Linked DNA regions of Elephas maximus indicus. The protein of the gene in region 2 purifies or fractionates together with the protein of the main gene of each other region. This does not show direct contact. Links are inferred from orthologs where the notes say so. Each region holds a gene or a part of one and is shown on either strand. Other genes may lie near its edges. The genes, in order: PRKAR2B, PRKACB, AKAP9 and CDK5RAP2.

Region 1 (7,195 bases), on a different chromosome or scaffold from region 2:
CTGAATCAAACTTCCCTGCCATGCATACTAAAATTTAAGAAATATTAATCCAGCAGGTCTTGTTCTATGTCACAGTAAAGTAAGACTTGTCTTCCAGTAATTGTTCTTTACTATGATAGAAGAATATCCAAAATATTAGTATTTTGGCACATTTCTGGATATAGATATCAAAAAGATAGGATCAGATTTCCTAGGCTCAGTCTTATTATTCTTTCCCCAGTGGCACTGTTCTTTTTCCTCTGACCAGGGGTGGACAAACAATGGCTTTGGTCTGCAGCCAGTTTTATACAACCCCAAACCCAGAGGTAAAAAAGTTTTTACAAGTTTTAAAGGGATGTAAAAAGAAATAAACAAGACTCTTCGACCAAGATCATATATGGCTCAAAATACTACCTGGCCCTTTATAAAAAGTTTATCTACCCTTTGGAGCCTATAATTGTTTTTTAAACAGCGAGTGTAAACACAAGTGACTTTTTTTCTTTTTAGTAAGAGAAAATTAATAAAAACAGAAGATATCAGAAAGCACTGTACCTACTAGAGAGATATATTGTTACCAAAGATTCAGTTATACATATATATACACACGTGTGAACTGAATCATGACCAAATTATATGGGGTGCACTCAAAAGTTTTAAAATCTGCCGGGAGTAGGGTTGGGGAATAAATAGTACGATGGGTCGACAAATAAATAAACTCACATTAAGAAATTTTTACACTAAAAGTGTCTTGGAGAAGAAACATAAAATGATCCCTGCTATTTAAAAGTTAACAGCTTGTTTCTTTTTCTGCAAAATGGAAATAAAATCTGTTCTGCACACAATATACATTGTTATAAGGGATAAAACAGAATCATCAATTCAAAGCACTTGAAAAGCATTACACAATGTATTATTAGCTATATTAACAATACAATATATCCAACATATCTAGGTTCTTTACCAAGTCCCTTAATTCCTAGATTCCTCCAACCTGGGGAGCCAGCTCTTTTTTTCTGTGTGTGGTGTGCACTGACACATCAAGAGCATAAAAGAAGTACAGTATAACATGCCTCTGCCCTTTCCATATCATGCATTATTGGCTTCTCTTGCCCATCTATTTAAAATGTATACTCTTTTATCCTCTTGTTTTTAGTAAGAAATGCATTTGATAAATTCTTGTGCAAAAAAAAAAAAAGTTATGACTATGATTACTCTATCCTGGGAAACACTAAAAAAAATATCCTGGGAAACACTAGGAGCCCCAAATTAAAAATGTTCAGTAACAATCTTCCCTTTTATCTTCACAAAGCACTAATTTCCAGGATTTGTGTAACCACTTTAAAATATATATATATATATATATATATTCTTTTTTTAACCACTTTGGACAACTTAAAATTACATTAATTTTAAAACCCATTACAAGATGTAATTCTGTGAAGAAAAGAAACACTTTCATAGTCGCATATACAAGGAAACGAAATGACGCCTTAAAACGTTTTCATTATATGGAACGCGCTGCAGACACACAAACCACAAGCAGTGTAAATAAGTAAAAGCTGGTGCAACGCTGCCTGTATGTTTGCCTTACACCACAAAGAGAACACACTTGCACATTTACACACCATAGTATTTTAGTCTGAGATGCCATAAAGATGGGATTTAGTCGTGCTGTGTAAATACAGGGGTGTGTGTGTGTGTGTGTGTGTGTGTGTTGACGAAACAGGGTTGTAAGCATAAGGGGAGGGACTTGCCAGGAGCAGCTACTTGAAAAAAATTATTATTTCTTTCCCATTCATTCTTTGGAGTCTGGCACAGTCCAATTACTCACTCGCTTTTCGTTCTAAAGACAACCAACAAGCTTTCAGAACTTCCTACAGTGTTTTGCACACACACTTAAAAAAAAAAAAAAAGGCACCAAATCATTCAATATGTGTTTTAAATAAAAAGCAGATCATTACCCCGTTTTCCAAAGGCCCCATGGGTTGCAGGCTAAGTAGGATCCTTTCTTCTGAGTACAGAAATAACACAGCACAGTATTGGTAAATTGGAAAATAATAGATTACTTTGTTTCCAAGAATGTCAAAGCTATTACCATAAATTTCGTTCTGCCCCAGCGAGTTCCAATTTCATGCTCCTTTTGGTGAATTTACCGTCATAACAACAATAAAGCCAATCAAATGTAACAGCCCTCGCCTTTTCTCTTTGGACACTCCATTAAATACAAGCGCAGAAAAGAACGCCAAGGGGGCCAACTTCCTTTATGCACAATGCTATCCGTCAAGAGCAGTATGTTAAACCACAGCGAAAGTTGTCTTCCTATCAGATGCCCACTCCAAACCGGGCCACCTCTGCCTCGGTGCCCAGAACGAGAGAGGGCAGATGGGCGGGGAGAACAGTAACCTTTTAGCTCCCCCAGCTCCCCAGGAGAAGAAGGAGGGAGGGCAAGACGCGGGTAGGAAGGTGGGCGAGTGGGAGACAGAAATGGATGCTGAGGGGGTGGGCGTGATGGGAAGGAAGGAAAGGTAGAGAATGCGGAGAGGGATGGGGAAGGCAAGCTCCAAGATTAAAGCGCAAAGCGGGGTATGGCAATCGGGGGCGAGGGGGTCCAGGAGGCACGGGGATGGGGTCCGGACCTCACCGTTGAACGCCCCTGAATCCGCGGCCTCCTCCTCCTCCCCGTTTTCGGAGTCGGTGTGCACGGACTGCTCGGCGAAGTTGACTCCCTTGCTGGGGGTGCCGCCCCCGGTGGCGGCGCCCACGTCCCCCCAGATCCTGCCCTCATGGCCGAAGCGAGCGGCGCCTTTGCGCTCGTTCTCCTGCTGCAGGCGCGTGAAGTGCTGCAGGGCGAACTCCAGCAGGTCCGCCGGCTGGTGCCTCAGCACCTCCACCGTGAAGCCCTGCAGCAGCTCCGTCAGCCCCGCTGGGATCTCGATGCTCATCCTGCCTCCGGGGCGGCGGGAGTCCCCGGGGTGCCCTGCGCGGGCGGCCGCCGCCCTCGCGCCTTCCCGAGTCCGGCCTCGGCCGCGCTGCCGCCGAGCGAGCGCGGAGGGCGCCGGCAGCGCTGTCAGCGGCGAGCGCGGCGCACTGGGGCCCGGCCGCCCGGCTAGCGCGGCCCGCGGCTCCCGGCGAGCGGCTGCTCCGTGCGGCAGCTGCAGCGGCGGCGGCGGCGGCGGCGGCGGCGGCTGAGCGAGCGCGGCCCGGGTAGGGCTGGGAGCATCTCCACTCCTCCCGCTCCCGCCGCCGCCTCAGCTCCCCCAGCCGGGCCGCCCCGCCCCCGCCCCGCCGCGGCGCGCCCACGTGACCCCGGAAACCATGGCAACGCAGTCGACGGGCGCCGCGCTCCTGCCACTCGGACTGCCGCCGGGCGGAGGACGTTGGCGGGCGCTGGTGGGCCCGGAGGCGCGCTGCCGGCACGTGCACCGGCCTAGAGGCCGCCGGTCGGCGCCGCTGCCGGGGCTCCCGCGAGGGAGGCCTCGCTGTCCCCCCGCCCCCGTCCCCAAACCCAGAGCGGACAGTCCACGCGCCCGAATTCCCACACGGCATCCACCATCGCGAACCGCGCAGAGCTGCTGCCACGCGAGTTGCCCTGAAACCTCAGCCTCCACCTCGGTAGTGGCGCTTTGTTTTCCTCCTAGAATCTAGTTGTGTTGATAAGTGTTGGTAATATCTTTTGTTTACGTTCATAGAGTGGTGTTGGTTCTCTTTCAGACAAAGAAATAATACATCATCCTTGTGACATCATTCTAATTTTTCCTTTCACCTCATTTTATCCAGCTTTTCCCCATCCCTCCCGTTTACTTTGTTTTTTGCTTCACTGATACTATTCCATTGTGTTCTCGAAGCACTTACTACTGTACACCGAGACAACTGCATCATTTATCGTGAGACTTACCAAAGCTAGGGATGCCCTGCAAACAGGATAGTACAGCAACTTGAATAAAATGTCATAATCAGGACAGGTGGTCATTAGGCAAAAAAAAAAAAAAAGCTTTGCCTGATTAGCCTCTTCTGTTTATTAAAAAACTTTCCTTTACAGTTTGAGTGATTTTGAATTATATTAAATAATTGAATTATATCTCCAAAAATAGGAATACTTAAGTACAAAGAGAAATAGTATTAAAATGTGTGCTTTTAAAGTAGAAGTGCTTGATTTTGATATGAGGCTTATTCTGCAAGCGTTTACAATTTTGAATTAGAGAAAATTGTCTTTTGCTATTTAAATACACATACTTCATTTCTACATTGGCCACCATATCACTGTAAAAAAAAATAATTCAAGTGCAACCTCACTCAGTCGTTTTGGTTTATGTTTCCACCCATCCAAAAGGGTAAATACATAACTCAGAAAACTCAAAGACTGAAAAGCAAGGTGCAACAAAGTAGTCCCTTTAAAAAAATGCATCTTGATATTAACCTTCCTTTCTTTATAATCCAAATTGTATTCACTCTCAGTGAATATTTCTATATTTCCATTTCTTATCAATCTGATAATAATAATGTTATGTTGGTTTTTAAATATACTAAAGTGCTTCTAATTGTGTCAAATATTTTTAAAAATAAGCTTTTATAGAATACCATGACCCTCACATGTCATTGTTTGGAAAACAGTATTAAATTCTTTTCCATGTAAGCAGTATTTTATTTACAGATCCAGTTATCTAAGATGAATATGCATCATTAGTTTTCATTTATGATGATGGTTGTATTAAGATTAGCATTGTCTGCATGTGGCAGAAAATGCAAAATACAGCGGCTTAAGCAAAACAGAGGAAATCCTGGTGGCGTAGTGGTTAAGTGCTATGGCTGCTAACCAAGAGGTCGGCAGTTCGAATCCGCCAGGCGTTCCTCAGAAACTCTATGAGGCAGTTCTACTCTGTCCTATAGGGTCGCTATGAGTCGGAATCGACTCGACGGCACTGGGTTAAACAAACCAGAAATTTATTTCTCTGTAATGTAAATGTAGGCAGTCCAGAGGTTGTATGGTGACTCCATGATCTTCAAGGACCCAGGCTCCTTTGTTTTGTAAACCTCATTTGTGTCTTGTACCTCGTGGTCCAAAATGGCCACCTACCTCCGTTCTTCTCATGTATGTTTCAGCCAAGTGGAAAGTGGAAAAAGGAAAGGGAACTCCCCCTCTACCGCGCACAGTTAAGGGACACTTTTGGGAAGTTAAGCACACCAATCCTTCATATCCTGTTAGCCAGAATTTAGTCACGTGGCCGCACCTATGGTGTGGTAGATTGCATTTTCCGAAGATGGCTACATTATCTCCTATATCATCTGCTCTTCTATATCTGCTCTTGTTCCCCCGCATCAAGAGTTGAAGTCTAATTCCCCTCCCCTTGAAGCTAGATGGGCCTCTGACTGCTTTGACCAATAGCACGTGATTGAATTCACGCTAGCATGACAGAAGGAGCAAGCCATATGGTGTACTGTCTGAAGTCCTGACCCACAGAACCCATGAGCATAACAAAAGAGTTGTTTTAAGCCTCCACGTTTTGGAGGTAATTTGTTACACGGCAAAAGTAACTAAAACACATGGCTATACAGGAAGTTTGGGAATGTAATCTTTATTTTGAGCAGTCAGTTGCCCAGCAAACATTTGAGAGTTAAAGAAAACCAATTTGGGGAACAATTATCCATCTCTGCTCAATATTTAACACCTTCCCCCCTTCCCCCCTCCCCCGCCCAGGAATGACAGAAGAAAAAACCACTACTTTTCCAAACAGTTACAAGAACCAGATGTCAAAGTTGTAGGCTACGTTTTGTGTTTCAAACGGCTTTTATTCCTTTTTGTAGATTTAGTGTATGATAACTAGTAAATGGCTGTCTGCCATCAACTACAGTGTCAGGGTGGTGTGACTGTTATTTCTTTAGGACTATGTAAGTGACTTAATCATGAAATTCATAATTGGATTATATGGCCTATATAGGAGCCCTGGTTAAGAGTTCACTGACAACCAAAAAGTTGGCATTTCGAATCCACCATCCACTCCTTGGAAACCTGTATGGTCTCTCCAGGAGCCCTGGTGGTACAGTGGTTAAGCACTCAGCTGCTAACTGAAAGGTCAGGTATTCGAACCCACCAGCCTTTCCTTGGAAGAAAAGACCTGGCAACCTGCTTCTGTGAAGATATCAGACTAGGAAATCCTGTGGGACAGTTCTTCTCAGTCCTATAGGGTCTCTATAAATCGGAATCAGCTTGATGGCCCATAACAGTAACAACAATGGTCTCTCCCAGCCTAGGAGAGCCTGTAATATTTAAAAGGCGTATTGAATTTAAAATATCTTTGTAAACAGCTGTCTGATAACAATTTTTATTCGCATAAATTCTTAGATCCACAACTATGACCTGAAGAAGTAAATGTTGATCCTGATATTCTGATTATGTTAATACTGTTCTCAGAACATTCACTTCTCAAATCATATTTTGACTTTTATTCACTCACACGTAACCTTTCTGTATAAGATTTCCTTTGCTTTCGTTTTCAGCATATTTCCTTTTGAACCTTGGAGTGCAATGACAGTGGTTTATGGGACTATTCATCTTGAATTCTTTAAAAGAACATCACTGGTATTGATTCTTTGGTTGTTGATTTACAAAGCAATTTGTGCTAGTTTCTCAGAGAAGCAGACTGGAAGCAATTGCAAAAGAACTGCAAGAGCTAAGAATGAAATAAGAGTACTACAAAATTTGTTTCCACTCATGGGAAATTAAACAGATATTAGAGACATCAGCTTGTTTATATGAAGCTGCCAAAACAAGACCACAGCGTGGGCAACCCAATGGTTTGGGCAAGCTTTACAATGGACAGTAATAACTCTAACTAGTCAATTATGCAGCATTTCATATCAACAGTTAAGATGTATCTTAAGTACAAAAATATATATATATATGCACTTGAGCAGGGGTAGGCAATTGAAAGGATACACAGGGCTGTGCTTGCACAGAGACCACTGTGGCAGTCAATCTCAGTTTCATATACCTTTAGGAATTCAGCACTGACTAGCACTTTGGTGTCTCTAATTCAAATTCTCAAGAGAGAGAAGCCAGTTGGTCTTCACCATCCAATGGATTGGCTGACTTTGAATGAGGGGTCCTCTCCTGAGAGGTCAGTGTGGTCAGTGGGATGCCAGATTAGAAGTGGCCAGGTAGTATAAAAATTTGACAGTCTGCCTCTTCAACAAGAAGAAGAGTCCCAAACATAGGGAC
Region 2 (7,973 bases):
AACTTCACCCACATTTGGTGCCACCTTTTCCATCACCATAAACAAAAAATGACTATTACCTAGGGGATACTTTTCTAGTTACCCCCACTCCCACCCCTCATAACCACTAATGAACATTGTTGTGTGCCCTTGGTTAGCAGTGAGTGCTTAACATTGTACCACTAGAGCCCCTTCAGTGAACATTGTTGTTGTATGCCATCGAGTTGATTCTGACTCATAGTAACTCTATTTATTAGTCTCTCTCTCTCTCTCACACTCTCTCTCTCACTCTCTCTCTCTCTCTATATATATATTCTTTTACCGAAAACCCTGGTGGCTTAGTGGTTAAGTACTATGGCTGCTAACCAAAGGATCGGCAGTTCAAATATGCCAGGCGCTCCTTGGAAATTCTGATGAGTCAGAATCGACTCACTGGCACTGGATTTGGTTTTCTGGTTTTTATATATTTACCTATTCTTGTTATTTCATAAAAATGAGAACATAAAATATTCGTGCTTTTGAATTGACTTATTTTGCTCAACGTCATGCCCTCCAGTTTCATCCACATTGTGGGATGTTTTGGGAACTCATTTTTCTTTATCTGTGAATAGTATTCCATCGTATGTATGTAACACATTTTGCTTGCTATTCATCCATTGATGGGCATTTAGGGTGTTTCCATCTTTTTGCTGTTGTCCATAGTGCTGCAATGAACATAGGTGTGCATATGTCTGTTCGTGTCACTTGTATTAGACCTCTAGGAGTGGAGTTGCTGGATCATATGATAGATCTATTTTTAGTTTTTTAGGAACCACCAGATTATTTTCCACAACCACTGTACCATTTTGCCTTCCCACCAGCAATAGATGAGGGTTTCAGTTTCATCACATCCTTGCCAGTGTTTGTTATTTTCCTTTTTTGTTGTTGTTGTTGTTTATCTTAGCAATCCTAGTGGGAGTGAAATGGTATCTCATTGTGATTTTGATTTGCATTTCTCTGATGGCTTGTGACCTTGAGCATCTTTTCATGTGTTTGTTGGCCATTCGAATACCTTCTGTAGTGAAGTGTCAGTTCATGACTTCTGCCCATTTTTTTGTATTATTTGTCTTTTTGTTAAGTTTTAGAAGTTTTACATATATTTTAGATATTAGATCCTTATGGGTTATATTGTTCCTGGAGGTGTTTTACCCAGTCTATAGGTTGTCCTTTTACTCTTTTGATAAAGTCTTTTGATGAACGTAAGTATTTAACTTTTATGAGGTCCCAGTTACCTATTTTGTTTTCTGCTGCATGTGCATTCCTTGTGTTTGATAATCTATCATTGCAAAAATTTAGGTCCATAGCTTTGCTTCTGTGTTTTTTTCCAAGAACTTTATGGTTTTAGATTTAACGTTTAGGTCCTTGATCCATTTTTAATTAGTTTTTGTACATGACATTAGGTATGGATATCGCTTCATTTTTCTGCATGTGAAATCCGGTTTCCCCAGGACCATTTGTTAATAAGACTGTAGCTTCCTCATTGAAAAGATTGGCTTCTTTGTCAAAAATCAATTGACCATAGATGTTTGGATTTATTTCTGGGTTTTCAATTCAATTCCATTGGTCTGTGTGTCGATGATTAAACCGGTACTAGGGTGTTCTGATTATTGTAGCTGTTTAATATGTTTTGAAGTCGGGGCTATCTGAATGAAAAAAAATTCCATAGCAGATTCTTAGACCCTGGGCAATATATTCGAAGACTGATTTCTCCCCATTCACTCTCCCACCTTTGTTTGAAAATTTCTGCATTTAAAATTTTTTTATTTCTTTTTTTTGGTAATCAGTATTGGGCAGTACAAAGAGTCCTGATTCCAGGAATTTTGAAGGCCTAGGTGACTTTGGGCAAGCCACTTAATGTTTGTAAGATTTTTTTTCTCAACTTAAAATAAGAGTAATATTACCTGTCCTGCTTACTTCATTGGTAAGGATCTCATGAGCTGTGGAAACCACTATGGGTTGTAAAGTGTTTTTGGCAAATGTAAGGGATCATTACTATTATTAAATATAATATACCATATTTTGTGATATCTGTTGGCAATCAAAGCAGGTTTATCTCTGAAAATTGCCATAATTTCTGTAATTAATACAGTATGAATAATAAGGAATGTATACTTATGATTACTCTCCAGTGGTAAAAATGATACATTGTTTAATTACAGTCTCTTAGTAGATAAGCTATAATATTACAGCAAATTTTGGGTGCGTAGTTAGACATTTTAATACAAATTAAGATTCCGAAAATACCATCAGGAAGAATAGCAAGCATACTCAAGGTTAATGTGAATTTTGAAGGGATTCATAGTTTTAGTTAAAACTGTAGTTGTTTCTTTCTAGCAGTAGATGCCAGTAGAGTTCTTTTTTTTTTTTTTTCAATAAATAAAATTCAAACTGCCTAAGGACTTCCACAGCAACAGCTTCCTGGTCACATTACCATATATAGAAACATTACTCTAAGGACTAAATATTCTACTTTCTATAAGGACTTTTTAACAAATGGAAACAGCCTTTTTGAAAAAGATGTACAGATTTCAGATGTAGTTTAGAGATACTCATCTAATGCTTTTTTTTTTTTTCTATTGCAATTACTTTTGTTGTAAAATTTATATGTTATTTTAAATAATCTTAGTACTAGTTAGGAATCTGGAATTTCTTATACTTAACTCAAGCAATTTTGAATATAAGCCTGACTAGACATTTTGTGTTAAAAATGAATAAGACGGTGCTGAAATACTAGGATTAGTTTGTGCATTTGGCAAGGGAATAACATGAGCGTAATATTTTGGAGAGATTAATACGGCAGAGGGATGAATGATTGAAGGGGGTGACTGTAAGCTTAGAAATCCACAATTTGCCCTAGTAAAAATAAATGAAAATGGAACTCAGAATGAATACAAAGTAGTAACTCATTGAATATTGAGTAAAAGGAGAAGTTTGATGATACTACTTTTATTACTGTAGTCTTTATATATGAGAAATTTATTGCTTTCTGGATTATTTACAAATAAAATCCTATCATAAATAAAATTAAAGCATTTTCAATGCTTGATTACTTAGACCATGTTTTAAGTTGTTGAAAATGAACTTATACTTCATTCAGTATATATTTTATTGAACATCTAAATATATTTATTGAGTACTTAATGCATGCATTGCTTTTATGAATTCAAGTAACTCAAAATTTAGGAAGGCATAAATTCATAAATAGCAAATTTTAACATAAATGACAAGATCAGTGGAAAGAGCGGAGAGAGTGATTTATTTTCTCTTGGAAGCATATGGAAGACTTCACTGAAGAGGTGATATTTGCGGTGAGCCTTGAGGATGAATAGAATTTCCGTCAGGAGAAATTCCTGAATTCAAAAGAATTCAGCAATTTTATCTGCTTCTGCCCACACGGAGTCAGCCTGTGCTCTGTAGATGTTTATTAAAGTCTACAGACACTTATTCAGTATCTGTTTTGTGTAAGACACTGTCAGACACGAATAAGCAAATTATGTATTACTGTTCCGAAACGCTGGTGGCCTAGTGGTTAAGTGCTTGACTGCAAACAAAAAAGTCAGCAGTTCAAATCCACCAGGCACTTCTCCGAAACACTGTAGGGCAGTTCTACTGTGTCCTATAGGGTCATTATGAGCCTGGATTGACTGGATAGCAATGGGCTTGGTTTTGGTATACACATACATAATATTCATATAGAGCTACAAATTTAAAAAGTTTAGTCTTACAGATATTGCTGCCTATTTTTTAGAGTGATACTAATTTTACCTAAAAAAGTGTACACAAATGAGCTGTTGCTTTGCAAAGTCACTAGTGATTGCTTCCTTTGTGCGTGTGCGTGCGTGTGGGGAGGGTTGTAATTGGATTACATTATTTTTCCTATTCTATTTGTTATTATTGTCCCTATTTATTGTATTTCTCAAAACAGTTGGCAGGAAATCTGGACTAAGATAGTTTCTAGATTTTTTAAAGATATTTTTCTTTCTTTCTCTCTTTTCTGTAGTCCTTATTACAGCTTCCAAAGACAAAAGCACATACATTTCTCATCCTTTAATTTGTTAGTCTCAGAAGACAGGTGCTCAAAATCATTGTTAAATGCCACAGGTACGTGCCTTTTGTTTTCCTACAAGGGGACAATGGCAAATTTTATTTACTTTTAATAGGAGGAGATGTCTCTAAATGAGACCACTAAATGAGGGATCAGGTAAGCAGCAGTCCTCAGTGTTAAGTTTTTAAAATAAATAGGTCTCAGGCCACTCTCAGTCAGCCAGAAGGAACTGTTTTCTCCTGCTTGAAATCTCTTGCTATGACTGATTTTAAATCTTAAATATTTTCTTTTTCCAAATTTTACAATGTTTTTAAAATATAAAAACTCGTCAGCAGATTATAAATTTGATGAACAATACTGACATCCTCACTTTCTGTAGTTCCTGTATACATTACGCTTAAGTGAATGAGTTAGCAACATTCAGTTCTTTTTTTTTAAGTGCTAGTTCAGGTTTTTCCTTAGTTACGACATATATGTCATAAATTTGTTTTGTGAGAGTTTTATCATATCCATTCCATACCAGTTTTGTTGTAAAGTTAACTGTTGACAAGGATGCCTGAAATCTGTATGTTAGCTGATTTCCTGGAAAAAATAAAACCTTTCTTTTGAACATGGTATATTTGAAATGTGGCTTGGGCCTCTGTTGTTAGCATAGGGTTGTAATATATGTTTAACTATTTTTCTTTTTTTCAGCCTACTGTGTATATATATATATTTTACTGTATATATAAGTCCTTATACTTACTGCTCTCATTAACATGGGTTAACATTAAAACACTGTTAATTTAAAGCATTGTTTTGTTTTATACATTTAGGCAGATATTGCAGGGTTTTTTTTTTTAAATCACCATCTCTAGTTAGATATAAAGACTTGTGCTAAGAAAAGCTTAGAAATGTGCTGTTTTATATTAACAGGAAACACAACAGCAGTAGTAATTTGAATACCCTGCAAACAGGAAGTTTGACACATGCATAGCTTTCAGCTTCAGTGTAAGAAGTTGTTGAGCTCCTTCTGGAAATATTTTTAGTTGCTTTAAGTAAAGCGTAAATGCACGTGAATGGCAGCTTATAGAGAACTACCTTGTAACCAGCATACAGGTACAACTACTGCTCTTCAGAAATTGGAAGGTTTTGCTAGCCGATTATTTCATAGACACTCTAAAGGTGCTGCACATGATCAGAAAACAGCTTTGGAAAATGACAGCCTTCATTTCTCTGAACATACTGCCTTATGGGACAGATCAAGTAAGTTTTGTTTTATTTTTAAGTGATACATTCTAATTAGCAGCTAAAACAGTAATTGGAGATTTAAAATCAACCATATAAAGACCATGTTTAGTTTGTCTTTTAATAGTTTCATAGGACATTCTGCAAGATAAAGTTGAAGGAATAAGTTTCAACTTTACTGTAAGTTTAGCTGAATCATGTAGTTATATGACTAAGTTGATTATCAGTTGAAAAATTTTCTTCAAAATTCTGACATCATTTCTAGAGTACATTACCGTTTTTGGTTTTAGTTTTATTTTTGGTCTTGTGTAAAATGAAATGCTTAAATTTTAGAAACGATAGTTTACTTTTTAAAAGTATCTCTGATTCATAAGCCTTAAACTTCAAAAGAGACAAGAAGACTCTTGAATTTTTAAATTTCTATTGTGCTTGATATCTTTTATTTTTAAATGCTCACATGAAAGTTATTTCAGTTTAACAAGCAGGGTTTTCTAAAGTAAAAGCGTAGTATGATTATTCTATGTGAAATCTCACATAACATTATGAATATCTAAAGCTTCCATCATGGTATTTTATGTAATTTATACTTACGGCTAAAGGGAAAAAATGAGTTGTTTACACATGCATCACATTTTTCTAGGCATGTTAAAAATGTTTGGAATTACTGCACTGCTGACACAATGATATGAAACCATTTTTGGTGACATACATGTTAAAAGATAAATTTCACATATAACAATACCAGTGCCTCCATTCTGCATTTCACCTTGTACCCTCCCCAAGGTATTTTTGTCACTCTGACTAAAGGAACAATAGAATCACCCTTGGTACTCTTGCCCTTTTTATTGTGTTTGTTTGGTCATCAAATAGCACTAGGTTTTGCCTCTTTCATTTATATATTCCTCAGCAGTTAAGGAAGATAACTCACTTAAAAAAAAAAAAAAAAGAAAGAAAAACAGTTTCAAAATTTGCTTCTTGGTTTATATAACACATTCATAGTGCTGTGAAAGCTATCCAAATTATTTTTTACTACATTGGGGTTTTTTTTTTTTTTCCTTACCTTCTTCAAACTGTCTAAGTGAGAAAATGAATAAGAACATATATTTGCACAAAAATTGTTTTCACTCCAAACAGTCTGGTCGTTATTTATAGTTAGTTCTTACTATATACCAAATTGACAAATGAAGAATTTCAATATTTCCAAGTTTATGAACTATTAAATATTGAGTTAACAGTACATTATCAAAATTTATCATGTAACACAAGTTTGTTGTTCACTCTGTTTCCCCTATTCTGTTAAACTGCCGTCCCTAAGCCCTTTTGGAAATCATTTTTATGCATTTCAAAGATCTTTTAATCTAAAGTTAAATGAGAGATGAGGATAGTATTGAGTTAATTTGTTTTACTAATACTGTTCCTCCATGATAGGCATTTAATAAGTGTATCTTAAAAGAGACTGTCTTGGGGTTTTAATAATTAATAGTTATGTTTGAACGACACTCTCACCATTTTTTAAATGTGTGAGGCCTGTGATGTTTTCTGAATACACATTTTAAAGTCTAGCAATGGAAGATGGTATCATGAATCATGATTTCTTTTGGAAAAAACATACATATTGATAAAACGCTGTTAACATTTTTTTCTTACTCTAAAGTCACAAAGTAACATAAATAGGATCATTGCGCCCAAGTAAAATCGGGGGCGAACCTTGTAACCCTGCAAATAATAAGCATAAACCAAAAAAAAAAAAAAAAATCCATTGTCCCAAGTCGATTCCTACGCGTAATAATAGACACAGTGTAGGAAATACTTCGAGTAACTCAGTGTTCATTAACCAAGTATTCTTCCACTTTCTGCCTCCTCTCATATCCCAAAAGATCATTAATACCCATTGCCGTCAAGTCGATTCCAACTCATAGCAACCCTATAGGACAGAGTAGAACTGCTGCATAGTTTCCAAGGAGCACCTAGTGCATCCAAAGTGCCAGCCTTTTAGTTAGCAGCCATAGCACTTAACCACTACGCCACCAGGGTTTCCAAAGATCTTATTAGACACAGTAATTTTATATATGTAAGGAATGAGCACAGTATGCATGGAGCGCTAGTTTCCTATTATGGACTGTGTTGATAGAGAAGAAAACACTGATAGAGTAGAAACAGAAGAATCCTATTATTTCACAATTCTAAGGTTTATTTTTGTGGTTCAGAACACAAATTTTTCTAAGATTTATTTTTATGGTCAGAACACAAATTTTTATTCATTTTTACAGTCAGATGTGGAAAGAGTTTTGACTGTATGAAGTTTGCATACAAACCACATTTTTCAAAGGTACTTAAAGCAATTTACTGGCATGACTTGTTTGACAAGAAGAAGGAATGTAATATCTCCTGATGATAAACACTCTGAATATGTTTGTTCTAAAAGTGCTATTTTAAGAAATCCACTAAGCACAGAAGCTGCATGTAAACCTTTTTTAAAAAAATTAGTTTTATGAACTATTGAGTAAGGATTTATTACCATTTTAGGCAGATGTGAAACAGTAACAAGCATTAGTCCAAGGTTCTTTCTTTTTCAAGGAAAATGTAGATAGGAAGAGATACAGAAAAAAGGCCAAACACATAGTGGTTTTTAGCTGCCTTTAATGTGTTTCATCATTTACTACTAAATTAAGTAACAGGAATT
Region 3 (7,846 bases), on a different chromosome or scaffold from region 2:
CCAAAATAAGATGGAAGGAATACACAGAGTCACTGTACCAAAAAGAATTGATCGACATACAACTATTGGTCAACCTTTCAGGAGGTAGCATATGATCGAAAACCGATGGTACTAAAAGCAGCAGCCCAAGCTGCACTGAAACCATTGGCAAAAAACAAGGATCAAGGAATTGATGGAATACCAACAGACGGATGCAATGCTGGAAGCACTCTCTTGTCTATGCCAGGATATTTGGAAGTCAGCTACCTCGCCAACCGATTGGAAGAGATCCATATTTGTGCCCATTCCAAAGACAGGTGATCCAACAGAAACATTTGCAGCTGTACATCAACAAGGACCTGCTAGAAATTCTAGCCCAATTCAGAAGAGGACCCAGAACAAGGGATATCATTGCTGATGTCAGATGAATCTTGGCTGAAAACAGGGAATACCAGAAAGATGTTTACTTGTGTTTTATTGACTATGCAAAGACATACAACTGTGTTGATCATAACAAATTATGGATAACATTGTGAAGAATGAGAATTCCAGAATACTTAATTGTGCTCATGCAGAACCTGTACATAGACCAAGAGGCATTTGTTGGGGATACTGCATGGTTTAAAATCAGGAAAGGTGTATGTCAGGGCTCTGTCCTTATACCACATTTATTCGATCTGTATGCTGAGCAAATAATACGAGACACTAGACTATATGAAGAAGATCATGGCATCAGGATGGGAGGAAGACTTATCAACAACCTGCGATATCCAGATGACACAACCTTGCCTACTGAAAGCAAAGAGGACTTGAAGCAATTACTGATGAAGATCAAAGAATATAGCCTTCGGTATGGATTACACATCAACATAAAGAAAACAAAAATCCTCACAACTGAACCAGTAAGCAAAACCACGATAAATGGAGAAAAGATTGAAGTTGTTAAGGATTTCATTTTGCTTGGATCCACAATCAACACCCACGGAAGCAGCAGTCAGGACATCAAAGTACAAATTGCATTGGGCAAATCTGCTGCAAAAGACCTCTTTAAAGTGTTGAAAAGCAAAGAATGTCAAGGTGAGGCCTAAGGTGTGCCTGACCCAAGCCATGATATTTTCAATTGCCTCATATGCATGAGAAAGTTGTACAATGAATAAGGAAGACCCAAGAAGAATTGATGCCTTTGAATTATGGTGTTGGTGAAGAATATTGAATATATCATGGAGTTCCAAAAGAATGAACAAATCTGTCTTGGAAGAAATATAGCCAGAGTGCTCCTTGGAAGGAGGATGATGAGACTTAGTCTCACGTACTTTGGACATGTTATCAGGAAGGATCAGTCCCTGGCGAAGGATATCATGCTTGGTAAAGTAGAGGGTCAGTGAAAAAGAGGAAGACCCTCAATGAGATGGATTGACACAGTGGCTGCAACAGGCTGAAGCATAACAAGCATCAGGCAGTGTTTTGTTCTGTTGTACATAGAGTGGCTATGAGTCAGAACCAACTGGACAGCACCTAACAAGAACAACAACAATCTTTACGGAAGCCGACTGCCCCATCTTTCTCTCACAGAGCGCCTGGCAGGTTTGAACCACCAACCCTTTCAGTTAGCAGCACAGCGATTTATTCACTATGCCTCCAGGGCTCCAGGAACTCAAGGCGATTTCCTTAAAAAAGGGTTGTAAGCATAGTGGGTACTTAAAGTTTCACAGACTCTTGGCTGAAACAGAAGAGACACTTAAGGATTAATTACTTGATATTTCTTTTCATATTTAAACTAAATGTATTTTTACTGTAAACACTATATGGACCCTTGATACAACTCTTTTGGGGGCTCACTTAGTTTACATTCCATGACTGTTTGGCAATATGAAAATCCTTCAAGGTGATGTCAGTATATATTTTATTACTCAGTAATCCAGTGCAGTGTCTTGAATTACAGGTTTATAATTCCTTATCATGATAATAGTAACATCTTAGATTTTTTTAACAGTTCATTAGATTATAAGCCACTTCAAATGTGTACTAGTTTCCTAAGTCATGAATTACATTTTCAAAAAATGTTATTGTGGCAAAATACGTATAACAAGTTTGTCATTTTAACCATTTGTAAGTGGACAATTCAGTGACATTACATTCAATATGTTGTGCTACCTTCACCACTTGCCGTTTCCAAAATTTTTTCAGCACACTAAAGAGAAACTTGTAAACCCTGGTGGCGTAGTGGTTAAGAGCTATGGGTGCTAACCAAAAGGTCAGCAGTTCAAATCCACCAGGTAGTCCTTGGAAATCCTATGGGGCATTTCTACTCTGTCCTATAGGGTCACTATGAATTGGAATTGACTAGACGGCAATGGGTTCGTGTTTTTTTTTTTTTTTTTTTTTGGTTTTAAAGAGAAACTCAGTACCTCTTCAGCAATAACTGACTCCTATTCCCTCCAGAACAGGCAAATTTCTATGCATTTGCCTATTCTGGATTTTTCATATAAGTGGGATCAGAGAATAATTTGTCCTTTTGTGTCTGACTTATTTCACTCAGTATAATGTTTTCAAGGTTCATCCATGTCAGAACTTCATTTCTCTTTATGACTGAATAATATTCCATGGCATGTAGGTATATATCACATATTGTTTAATGGACACTTGGGTTGTTCCTACCTATGCATTATTTTTTGAAATCTTAACACCAACAAATTTGTCATAAGTGTTATTTAACACATTCTGTTTTTGTATGCATATTTTTATTCTAGTACTCATTTTGTTTGGAAAGCAGTTTAGTAAAATGGAGTAAGACTTGAGTCAGGAAGTCTGGATCTTAATCCAGCCAGGACTTTTGCTACCCAACCATGGGAAGTCAAGCAAGTCATTTTAAATGATTAAAATGACCATTCAGGCCTTCATAAAATATGGAAGAAAAATCACTATGCTCCCTCCTATTTTCTTTATTTATATACCATTGGTGCCCTGGTGGTGCAGTCATTAAAGAGCTAGGCTCCTTACCAAAAGTTTGGCAGTTCAAATCCACCAGCTGTTCCTTGGAAACCCTATGGGGCAGTCCTACTCTGTCCTGTAGGGTCACTATAAGTCAAAATTTATTCAGCAGCAACAGGTTGGATTTTACATACCATTCACCTATATTGTTGTTCTTAGGTGTCATCAAGTTGGTTTTGATTCATAGTGACTCCAGATGACAGAGTAGAACTGCCCCATAGGGTTTCCTAATCTGTAATTTTTTTTCTTTTTACTGGAGGATCCCTGGTGGTGCAATGGTTAAGTGCTCAGCTGTTAACTGAAGGGTTCTTGGTTTGAACCTTGGAACCGCTCCTTGGGAGAAAGAAGTGACGATCTGCAGTGGTAAAGATTGCAGCCTTGGAAAACCTATGGGGCATTTCTACATGGTTCTATGTTGTTGTTGTTGTTAGGTGCTGTTGAGATGGTTCCGACTCATAGTGACTCTATGTACCACAGAGGAAAACACTGCCCAATCCTGTGCCATGCTCACAATCCTTATGCTTGAGCCCATTGTTGCAGCCACTGTGTCAACCCATTTCACTGAGGGTGTTCCTCCTTACCACTGACCTTGTACTTTACCAACCATTGTGTCCTTCTCCAGGGACTGATCCCTCCTGATAACATGTTCAAAGTACGTAAGATGCAGTCTCGCCATCCTTCCTTCTAAGGAGCATTCTGGTTGTACTTCTTCCAAGACAGATATGTTCATTCTTTTGGCAGTCCATGGTATATTCTGTATTCTTCGCCAACAACATAATTCAAAGGTGTCAGTTCTTCGGCCATCTTTATTCATTGTCCAGCTTTCACATGTGTATGATGCGATTGAAAATACCATGGCTTGGGTCAGGCACACCTTAGTCTTCAAGGTGACATCTTTGCTCTTCAAAACTTTAAAGAGGTCCTTTGCAGCAGATCTGCCCAATGCAATGTGTCTTTTGATTACTTGACTGCTGCTTCCATGGCTGTTGATTGTGGATCCAAGTAAAATGAAATCCTTGACAACTTCAATCTTCTCTCCATTTATCATGACGTTGCTTGTTGGTCCAATTTTTGTTTTCTTTATGTTAAGGATTTTTGTTTTCTTTATGTTGAGGTGCAATCCATACTGAAGGCTGTGGTCTTCGCTCTTCACCATCAAGTGCTTCAAGTCCTCTTCACTTTCAGCGAGTAAGATTGTGTTATCTGCATATTGGAGGTTGTTAATGAATTTTCCACTAATCCTGATCCCCTGTTCTTCTACATACAGTCCAGTTTCTTGTATTATTTACTCAGCATACAGATTGAATAGGTACAGTGAAAGGATACAACCGCCAGGGCTATCACCACTTTTCCTCCGGGGATTTTCAGCGTTTATCAGTTTCACCCTGGTGGCACAGTGGTTGAGTGCTAGGGCTGCTAACAAAAAGATCAGTTGTTCTAATTCACCAGGCGCTCCTTGGAAACTCTATGGGGTGCAGTCCTATTCTGTCCTGTAGGGTCTCTATGAGTCGGAATGGACTTGACGGCAACGGGTTTTAAAAGCGACCACTGAGTCCGTAGGACGGCGAATGGGGGCCGGGCTGGGTACCCTCTGTCAGACCTCGTCCTCACCCCACCCACCCCCAACCCCGCCGCAACCTGGGAGCCGTTCATCCCTGGTGAGGACCAGGAAGGTCTAGGGTCGGGAGGGCGCCGTCTCCCGCCCGCCCCTCGCCGGTAGGTGGCGGGGGTTGCCGGCCGGGGTCGCTCCCAGGGCGGCGCGCGGCTCAGGGCCGCGGGCGCACCTGCCTGGTGCGGCGAGGCTCGCGGCGGCTGCGCGGACTGACGTGCCCCCCCTCCCGCCCGGCCGCGTGTTTACGTGGAGACGAAGATGGCGGCGGTGGTGACGGCGCTGCCCGTGCGGTCGAGGACTACCCACCAGTGAGCGCGGAGACTTGTTCGACTCGGGGCGGGGAGCGCTGGGCCCGGCCCTGCTCCTTGGGCCCCGGAGCTGGCCGGGACCTCCGTCTGAATCGACCTTTCCTTTCTACCCTCGATCCCTTTCCCGTCTTCCCCCACCCTTCTCCGCAGAGGCCATGGAGGACGACGAGAGACAGAAGAAGCTGGAGGCCGGCAAAGCGAAGGTAGGAAAGCCGGGCGCAGCCGGGCCCGCGGTGGGAGGCGGCGCCTGGAAAGGGGTGGTGGAGGGGAGCCTGGGAAGCGGAGATCGCAGCAGCCCCAGTGCGCTCGCTGCCTGGGAGGAAGGTGCTGCAGGGTCTTTATTTCCCCCCGCCACCCTCTCCCCTTTTTCCACAGGAGAAAAAAGCCCTGTGCTACCATCTAGCAAATTAAAAAAAATGCTTCCGTAATGATTGGATCGTGTGGCTCTTTCTCGTGAATGCGCAAATGAAACGCCTCTTTTACTATATTGCTATTAGCTAGTATGTATTGCCTCTAAATCTCCAGCTTTTCACTCTTTTAGGTTGTTTTCTGGGTGGTGCAGGCATTGTGCTTTTCTGGGTGGGGATTTGGGGCTTTATTCGGTGGGGGATTTGTGCGCTGATCATCAGCTTGGCTTCTTTAGGTGGCACGCTGGCACTCTTGGGTGTGTGTGATTGGCCTGTGACAGCTGCCACAGCAGTGGCTTGAGGGTGCCACAAGTGCCAGCTGTGAACTTCGCTTTAGGGGCGTTTTTAGAAGCGTGCTTTATATGTTTGCGTTTGGAGGTCTTTGTCATGGCATGCGCTTTTGTATTGTGTGGAATGTTAATGCAGTCTGTGAATGGAAAGATTCCATATCCTCAGCAATAGCTATAGAATTCCTGCTTTAAATACTGTTTTAACGGTTTGTTGTGTTTGTCTGGGTGAGTCGCGATTGTGTGTGTGTGTATGCATGTATGAAAAAGCCTGTAAAGAACACAGTATAAAACTATAAATATATCACTCATTGGGCATCATGAAAAAATTGACATAGACAAAATAGAAATTAAATAGCATTTTTCTTTAAAAAATTACATGTTTGAGCATATCATTTGTCCTCAAAGGTCCTCTTCTCCCTACAATGGAGCTACCTTTTATAGATTGTTTTAACTGTCTTATTGGAGGTAATTGTTAGCAATCATGATTGAACCACAGTTAAATTATAACATAGTTGGCTGTTTTTTGTTTCTTCCTTCTCTTCTCCAAATAGACAAACAAAGGAAACCTGGTCAATGGTTTTGGTAATCAATGAAGAACCAATACTGCAGAAATGCATTAGTTAGATGCTCAGCCAAATTTGTTAATGAATAAGTATGTGAGCTAACTTCCTATCACTACAATATAGTTCACTTTTTCACATGTTCACTCTAAGGTCAAGGCTTAAGGAGCTATGGTGGCACAGTGGTTCGGCTGCCAACGGAAAGGTCCCTGTTCCAATGCACAGGCCCCTCTGCAGGAGAAAGATGTGGCAGTCAGTCAGCTTCTGTGAAGAGTTACAGCTTGGTGAAGCTACTTGCAGAGATCACTTTTCAGCCAAATAATAGACAGGCCTGTAAAATAAACAGTTAACACCTGTGAGGAATGTGCTCCTTAGAACAACCAACTATATGAGACTAAAAAGAGCAGCATTTGCCCAAAAGCAAAGAAGGGGAGGCGGGAAGGGGCAGGGAAGCCCAACGCATGGAAACAGGAATCCAGGGTGGAAATGGGGAGAGTACTGACACATTGTGGGCATTGCAACCAAAGTCACAGAACAATTAATGTGTGGATTATTGAGTGGGAAACTAGTTTACTATGTAGACTTTCACCTAAAGCACAATAAATTTATTTATTTTTTTTTTTAATTTAGAGCTTAGAAACCCTATGGGGCAGTTCTACTCTGTCCTGTGGCATTGGGTTTGGTTTTTTGGTTAAGGTCAAGGTTTAAGTGCTTATAGGTATATGAGTAGATTATTATTTTAGAATCTATAAATGGAGGGAAAGAGGAATCAGGTCATCTCCAGAAGCCCAAAGTTGATTATATTTGTAAGCAACCTGAGGATCTGAGCAAGCTCTATGCACCCAAGGAAGTGGGACTTAAGTGCGTGCCCCCTTCCAAAAGCGTTGAAGTTCTATTTAGACTTAATTATTGAATCTTGTCTTTTACCTCAGAATTTTTACTGTCTGCCCCCAGAATTATCTTTTCTAATATATGTGAAGCAGTCCTATACAACATAGTTTACTTTGGACAAAAACATCTCAAAATAGAGGACTTATAGTATGGTTGATTTGGCAAAATAGAATTCTAGTTTCTGTGTATACGTGTGTTGTCTTTCAAAATTCTATCTATTGGAGTAAAAATCTTTATATTTCAACTTTAGTTTTTACTGTACAAGGTTATCTTTTTGAGTTGAGCCCAATATTTCTGTTGAGAAGTAGATCTGTGAAACTTGTCAGGCAAGGTATGTTTGCAACATGAGCTTTACAATATAAAAACACTGGAAGCAACCTTCAAAGACAACATTAGGAGATTTTCTAAGTTATTTATAAATGCAGTGGGATAGCTTGTAGCTTTAAAATATTATGAAGACTGGAACATGGAAAATAGAGTGAAAACAGCATTATCAAAAATAGTGTATACATTAGTATTTTAATTATATAATAATGTGTGCTTGCAGATTAGGACCAAAAGACTCTTTTATAAAGGAAAAGCAAATCAGCAAATGTTGAAGTCCTGTCTTATACCAAGGGATGGAAATAGAGAGGTGGCGACACGGTCCCTGCTCTCAAGAGACTTACAGTTTAGCGGGAGAGACAGACCTTGTGTAATAAGTACAATGACAGAAAAGGTGCATTAGGATTTTGGGTTATTTTTTTCATTTGTGAGAATGTGTTAAATGCCGCTACCTCATCTTTAAGAATATTTTACAAAGAAGACT
Region 4 (6,827 bases), on a different chromosome or scaffold from region 2:
AGCTGTGTCCTCAATCTGTCCTTGCACCTGAACATCACTGATGTGATTCAACATCCCCACCTCCAAATAGGGATGTGGGAGGGCTAAGGGCAGAGAGTTCCAGGCACCAACCCCAACCCCCAGACTCCATTGGAAATAGAAAACTCCCCAACCCCCTCAGACAGTGAACACGTGGCCTTATGATCAATAGACCCTGCATTGCTCCTTGTCTGTGCAGACAATAAATCTCCACCTTCAGTTTCCCTTGCAACTGGTGGTGTGGCATCTGTCTTATTTCGTTTGGCTAATAGGACAGGACAAGAACCCTCATTTTGTTACAGGAGCAAGTTATTTTTACCTCTTTGAGCCCCAGTCTTCTCATCTGTAGGTACAGTGGGGAGAATAGTAGTACCTACTCTGGAGCTTTGTTGTGAGGTTAAATGAGGTGGTACATGTGGTATGTCTGGCGTAAGTGACACATAGATGCTCAAAATGCGTGAGTTCTCTTCCTTATTTCCTTTCTCAAAAGCTTTCATCTGCTAAGTGAAAAGCTAGTTCCTTCATTTGGGAACTGATGATTATTATTCTCAGCCTCTCTCATCAGAATAGAGTTGGTTCATATAGCTGCTGCCAAGTAGGCCCCTACCTCACGATGACTCTGTGCACAAAGGAATAAAACACTGCCTGGTCCTGTGCCATTCTCATGATTGACTGCAGATCAAAGAAAGCATTGTGATCCATAGGGTGTTTTTTTAAAATTTTATTTACCTTATTTATTTTTTTAAATAATATTTCATTGTGGTTTTAGTGGTGATCCATAGGTTTTTAAAAAATATTTTATTTACTTTATTTCTTTTCCTTTTTTTTTGTTGTACTTTAGATGAAGGTTTACAGAACAAACTAGTTTCTCATCAAACACTACCTTGTTGTATGACATTGGTTAACAACCCCACGACATGTCAACACTCTCCCTTCTCAACCCTGGGTTCCTTATTACCAGCTTTCCTGTTCTCTCCTGCCTTCCAGTCCATGCTCCAGTGCTGGCACGCCCTTTTAGTCTTGTTTTGTTCCAGGAGCCTGTTCAATCTTTGGATGAAGGGTGAACCTCAGGAGTGACCTCATTCCTGAGCTGAAAGGGTGTGCGGGGACCATACTCTCAGGGTTTCTCCAGTCTGTCAGGCCAGCAAGTCTGGTCTTTCTTTTTGAGTTAGAATTTTGTTCTACATTTTTCTCCAGCTCTGTCCAGGACTCTCTATTGTGATCCCTGGCAGAGCAGTCAGTGGTGATAGCTGGGCACCATCTAGTTGTACTGGACTCAGTCTGGTGGAGGCTGTGTTAGATGTGACCCATTAGTCCTTTGGACTAATCTTTCCCTTGTGTTTTTAGTTTTCTTCATTCTTCCCTGCTCCCGAAGGGGTGAGATCAGTGGAGTATGGCCACTCAAAGGCTTTTAAAAAGTAGAATGTAGAACATTTTCTTTATAAACTATGTTATGCCAGTTGAGCTAGATGTTCCCTCAGGCCATGGTCCCCACAGTGCTTGGCCCAGCAATTCGGTCCCTCAGGGAGTTTGGGTGTGTCTATGGAGCTTCCAAGACCTTGCCTTGGACAGGTTGTGCTGGCTTCCCCAGTATTGTGTACTATCTTACCCTTCACCAAAGTTACTACTTATCTGTTGTCTATTTTTTAAAAACATTTTATTTATTAAAAAAAAAAATTATATTGCAATTTCACTGGTGATTCACTGGTTCATTTTAAAAGTAGATCTCCAGGCCTTTCTTTCTAGTCCATCTTAGCCTGGATGTTCCACTAAAACCTGTTTAGCATCATAGCAATACACAAAACCTCCACTGACAGAGAAGTGGTGGCTCCACACGAGCTGTACTGTACTGGCTGGGAATGGAACCTGGGTCTCCCATATGGAAGGTGAGAATTCTACCACGGAACCACCACTGGCCCCTAGTCTTGTGTTAAAAAAAACAAAACCCATTGCTGTGGAGTAGACTCCAACTCATAGTGACCCTATAGGACAGAGTAGAACTGCCCCATAGGGTTTCCAAGGAGCGCCTGGTGAATTCAAACTACCGATCTTTCGGTTAGCAGCCCAGCTCTTAAACATGGCACCAACAGGCTTTGTGTTAATAGCTCTGAAATAAACACAGAAAAATAACCTCTAGAGCTGTGAGGTCCTGAGAGGCCCATCCAGTCCAACCTTCTCATTTTAAAGATGTTGGAAACTGAGGCCACAAGAGAAGTGGTCTGCCAAAGATCACAGAGAGTCCATAGCAGAGCCAGGATAGGAACCCTGACACCCCAGCTTCCCTGCTTTTGGAATACTCATTTCATCCATTGAAATTAACACTGGAAAGGAGTGTCAGTTCCAGGGCTTCAAGGAATGCCCCTTCTCTGGGGCAGGGCATAAGTGCTGTGCCATCTAGTTCCTGCCCAACCGTTTTTTGTTTTCTTATTGCTGATCATGGTTGAAGGCCTGGGAAAGATCAGGTGCAGAACTGTGGGCCTTGTTGTCCTCAACAAGAGACAGAGAGGGAGGCAGGAGGAAGGAGAGGAGGGAGAAGAGAGGAGAGAGAAAACAGAGAAAATGAATGAATGTGGGATTACCACTGACTGACCTCCAAAAGATACTCAGGTCATATGAAAATCTTGAAGGATAGGTGTTAGTCCCATTTTCCATATTTATTGACTCTTCATCCACTTAACATATATTTAAAAACCCCTACTAGGTGGCAGGCACAATACTAGGTGATGGGGATATAGCAGTGAACAATTCAGAATACAGTTCCTGCCCTCATGCAGCTTCCAGTTTAGTGGAAGAGGAAGACATTAAAAACACACATAGCAAGTGCTACAAAGGAAGAATATGGGTTTCTAAGAACATCCAAGAGAGGGACCTGATTTTGATTACAGGATCAGGGAAGGCCTCTTTTAGAAAGTCACACTTAAATGCAAGAATGAGGAAACTGGGGCCAAGAGGGGACTTGTTCATGGTTGCAGGAAAAGTCACCGTCCATCCACGCACCTATCTTTCCAAATGGTTTTCATCCAGGACTCTTTTAACAGCCTGCAGAAGAAGGTAGCAGCACTGAGACGGGAATTTCGCTGGACAACCATTACCGAAATTACCTAGGTGTTTAGTGGTTATTATGTACTTTAGGAGAGGCAGCAAGGGATTATGGAGAGCCCTGATTTAGTTGGTAGGAGCTGAGGATCTGGTTCCAACTGACAAACTTACTGTGTATGACTTTGGGTAAGTCATTTCCTCTCTCTGGGCCTCAGTCAACCGATCTTAGACATGTCTGAGCCCTAAAGGCAACAAATGATCGCTAGGTAAAGGATTGGAGTGCGAGTGTAGCTAACCATTTGGCTCACAGGGATGAGTTTATTTGCTTCAAACTAAGCTTGCAAATTACTGTTTGAGTTGGAATTCCACATGTAGGATTTTCTAACACGAGGCAGTACCCGATTATTTGAGTTTCAACTCAAGGCAGAAGCCGTTTGGATGCACACACCTCAAGCTTCGGGTACCAGGTCCAGAACCCTGTGGGTTAGTAGGGCCCTGTATTCGCATATCCCGCTTAAATTAACGGATCAGGGGCAGCTTCGAGCCCTAAATAAAGATGGCGCCTGCGCTGGCATAGATCTGATTGCCCTCATAAAAAATGGCAGCTGGCCTCTCTCTGCCTAGCCTTACTCGCCCAAACGGGGGGGGGGGCTCTGCCCTTAGTTAAGATGGCGCCTGCTTGCGCGTCTCTGCCCGGCTTCTGGCTCCGGACGGCTGGCTTCACTGTGCACGCCCTGGTGACTCCGCCTCGTTTCCGTAGGAAGAAGAGCCGGGAATGATGGCGGCGGCTGCGGTTTGAATTCCGCGGCGCCGCCAGAATCCGAACAAGAGCTGGGTCGGAGAGGGCGGGGACCTCGGGGACTCGGGCGGGTCGCGCGACAACGAGGGGGGACCAGTGAAGCCGCCACTAGAGACATCAACGCCACCACCGTCTCTGTGTCCGTGATGGACTCGGCGTTGGAGGAGGACGTCACTCTCCCCGGGACTCTCAGCGGCTGCAGGTGCGGCCCGGGCGCTGGTGGTTCGCGGTAACTGGGCTGGTTTTCCAACTGATGGGGGTTTGCTCTAACCCGGCCTTGGGGGTTTGCTCTTGGGGTGTTTGAGCATCTCCGGATAGAAGCCGTGTGTTGTTTGGGTTCCTTAGGGTATCTCTGTGAGGGGCCCACCAGCTGATACTGTGTGTGAGGGTCCCGACCACAGCTACCTCTAGTATTTCAGAGTCTTAATTTGAGGAGGCTGTGAGGCACCAGTAAGGGGTTTTCTGAAAGAGCAGGAGGAGGGGGCCGTTAGTAGGGGCTGGTTGGGGGATGTGGCGCCCTCAGCAGGGACCTTGAAGGGACTTGATGGTTCATTCTGGTGTGGGGGTTTGCTTTCATTATGGGGAGTGTAATCGATACGTCCAGTCTTTGTGCATAGGGCGTTATAGTGGCCACCCAAGATTGAGGCAGTGGAGTGCAGTGGTTGAGAGACTGAACTGGAGTTGGGCAGATTTGGATTCAAATCCAGCGCAAATCCAAACTGACTAGCGGTGTAACCTTGGTAAAGTGCCAGTAATCTGCTTTCCCATCTGTAAAATGGGGATAGTAGTAATATCCACCTAACAGGATTGCTGTGAGGATTAAAAGAGATGATGCCTGCCCTGCAGTTTGCTTGACAAGTCTAGTGCCTGGCACATAATTAGTGCTTAAAAAGTGATCGTGTGGTGCCGTTATTATCGTTAATAATAACACAACTTGGGGAATAATGGCCAAGACTGGCCTCCCAATGGACCTGGCCCAAGAGGCTTTTGGAGTCCACGTTGTTTGTTGCTGGAGCCATGGGTCTCACCTTCTGGTAGGAAGGCCTGACAGCTCTGAACTGCATCAGGTCTCAGGCTCCTGATTGGAGAATGGGTAGAAGGAAATGGACGAGAACCTGAGTAAGAACCTTCAGTGTTTCTTCAGCTCTGCAAGGAACAGGCTGCTGCTTTTAGTTAGCAGGTCTTAATTGAAAGGTGACCATGTAATTTATTGTGCAAACCAGGATGCTTCTAAGGGCACTGTTGATATTTATGCTGGGACAGCAGGCGTGAACAGGTCCTATCTTGGGCAAACCTGGAAAAGTGGTTATGCTGTTTGTTGAGAGCCTACTGTATATCAGGCACAGAGCAAGGCCCTTTGCAGCTGCAACCTGATTTCATCCTTTTGGTAGTTTTTTATTCTCTATCTTACTGTAACTACCCCAACATATTGGGGTATTGCCTGTCACCTGGATTGTTGAGGCCTCCTTCACACCTCCAATAGTCCTTTATATTATAGCCTAAAAACTCTTAAAAATGTAAATCTGCTTTTGACAGTCTGCTGCTTTATGCTTGTTAGTCCTTCTCATTGCCCTTAAGGTAAAGTCCATTATCACTCTCTCAGACAACTCTTCTCAAGACGGTGCTGCTGGTCAAGTACTTTGGCTTTGGGACCCAAAGTAGTCTGGATTTCAATCCTAGCTCTGCCACTTAACAGCCCTGGGACCTTGGGCAGGGCATTTGCACTCTGTGAGCCTCAGTTTTCATCATCTGTAAGATGGGCTGGTATAAATCCCAGGGTTGGTATAACGATTAAAATGAGTATGAAGGGGCCTAGCCCAGTGTGCGACCCAGATCAGCAAATGTCCTCGCCTCCCTTCTCTCCTTGCCGTTGCCCGAAACACTCCTGGGTCTCTTACTAATCTCTTACTTCCCTGCTTCAGACCCCCACTGACTACTCTCTGCCCTGAGGGTATAGTTTTTTAATACAGCTTCCAAGGGTTTCATAATCTGGCCCTGTCTTCCTCTCTAGCCTCCTCTACCCTTACTCTCCCTACCCTGACTTCTCCCCACACTGCCAAACTCTTGGTTACGAATGATCTTGCCTTTTCCTTTCTTGCTGCTAGGCCTGTGTGCTTGCTGATCCTGCTGCCTGGATTGTCCTTCCTTCTTCCTTTTGCCTTATCAATGCCTGTTTTTTTTCAGGTCTCAGTTTAGATGTCGTTGCCAGGAAGACTTCATTGACATTTCCCCATCCCCACCTGGGCCTTCTACTCTTTTAGGCAGTCCCACCCATAATTTACCCTATCCCAGGCCTTATTTACTTCACGGAATTTTACTGACCAGCACTATGCACTGGAAACATATGTGAGCTATATATGTAACTTAAAGTTTTCTGGTGGCCACATTAAAAAAGAAACAAGTAACATTAATTTTAATATATTTTATTTAACCCAACATGTACATATATTATCATTCTAACTTGAAATCAGTAGAAAAAATTATTAATGAGATGTTACATTCTGTCTTACTAAGTCTTTGAAATCCAGTGTGTATTTTACCCTTATAGTACTTTGCAGTTTGGACTAACCACTTCTCAAGTGCTCATTGGCCACATATTGCTGGTGGCTCCTGTACTGGGCAGCACAGTTATCGACTGTTAAATGGCCCGTCTCCTATATTATCCTGTGACCTGTTTGAGAATAGGGACTGCATTTTATATAAACCATGGCGGTGTAGTGGTTAAGTGCTACAGCTGCAAACCAAAGGGTTGGCAGTTCGAATCCGCCAGGCACTCCTTGGAAACTCTATGGGGCAGTTCTACTCTGTCCTATACGGTTGCTATGAGTTGGAATCGACTCGACGGCACTGGTTTTTTTTTTTTTAATACATGTAATAGGGGTTCAGTAACTCCTTGTTGAATCACCGAATAAACAATGCTCCTTTGAGGTGACAGTGTAATCCCCCTTTTGCAGTTGAGGACACTGAGGCT

The links.
Region 1: the proteins of PRKACB (region 2) and PRKAR2B purify together in Homo sapiens (affinity purification with mass spectrometry; 7 studies listed by BioGRID and IntAct, counting the BioPlex papers as one, with this or other methods). This does not show direct contact. The link is inferred for Elephas maximus indicus from reciprocal best matches to the Homo sapiens genes PRKACB and PRKAR2B.
Region 3: the proteins of PRKACB (region 2) and AKAP9 purify together in Homo sapiens (affinity purification with mass spectrometry; 5 studies listed by BioGRID and IntAct, counting the BioPlex papers as one, with this or other methods). This does not show direct contact. The link is inferred for Elephas maximus indicus from reciprocal best matches to the Homo sapiens genes PRKACB and AKAP9.
Region 4: the proteins of PRKACB (region 2) and CDK5RAP2 purify together in Homo sapiens (affinity purification with mass spectrometry; 4 studies listed by BioGRID and IntAct, counting the BioPlex papers as one, with this or other methods). This does not show direct contact. The link is inferred for Elephas maximus indicus from reciprocal best matches to the Homo sapiens genes PRKACB and CDK5RAP2.

The regions. Positions count from the first base shown.
Region 1 is NC_064826.1:42,606,881-42,614,075, forward strand, and holds the start of PRKAR2B (cAMP-dependent protein kinase type II-beta regulatory subunit), read right to left. Parts: upstream 3,007-7,195; 5' UTR 2,922-3,006; coding exon 2,621-2,921; intron 1-2,620. Other genes in the region: rab11 family-interacting protein 3-like, read left to right, coding at 3,295-3,591. UniProt on the Homo sapiens protein: Regulatory subunit of the cAMP-dependent protein kinases involved in cAMP signaling in cells. Type II regulatory chains mediate membrane association by binding to anchoring proteins, including the MAP2 kinase.
Region 2 is NC_064821.1:133,355,829-133,363,801, forward strand, and holds the start of PRKACB (cAMP-dependent protein kinase catalytic subunit beta), read left to right. Parts: upstream 1-4,968; 5' UTR 4,969-5,121; coding exon 5,122-5,308; intron 5,309-7,973. UniProt on the Homo sapiens protein: Mediates cAMP-dependent signaling triggered by receptor binding to GPCRs.
Region 3 is NC_064826.1:61,953,987-61,961,832, forward strand, and holds the start of AKAP9 (A-kinase anchor protein 9), read left to right. Parts: upstream 1-4,829; 5' UTR 4,830-5,045; coding exon 5,046-5,093; intron 5,094-7,846. UniProt on the Homo sapiens protein: Scaffolding protein that assembles several protein kinases and phosphatases on the centrosome and Golgi apparatus. Required to maintain the integrity of the Golgi apparatus. Required for microtubule nucleation at the cis-side of the Golgi apparatus.
Region 4 is NC_064827.1:70,482,777-70,489,603, reverse strand, and holds the start of CDK5RAP2 (CDK5 regulatory subunit-associated protein 2), read left to right. Parts: upstream 1-3,812; 5' UTR 3,813-4,002; coding exon 4,003-4,058; intron 4,059-4,358; exon of another isoform or gene 4,359-6,827. UniProt on the Homo sapiens protein: Potential regulator of CDK5 activity via its interaction with CDK5R1. Negative regulator of centriole disengagement (licensing) which maintains centriole engagement and cohesion. Involved in regulation of mitotic spindle orientation.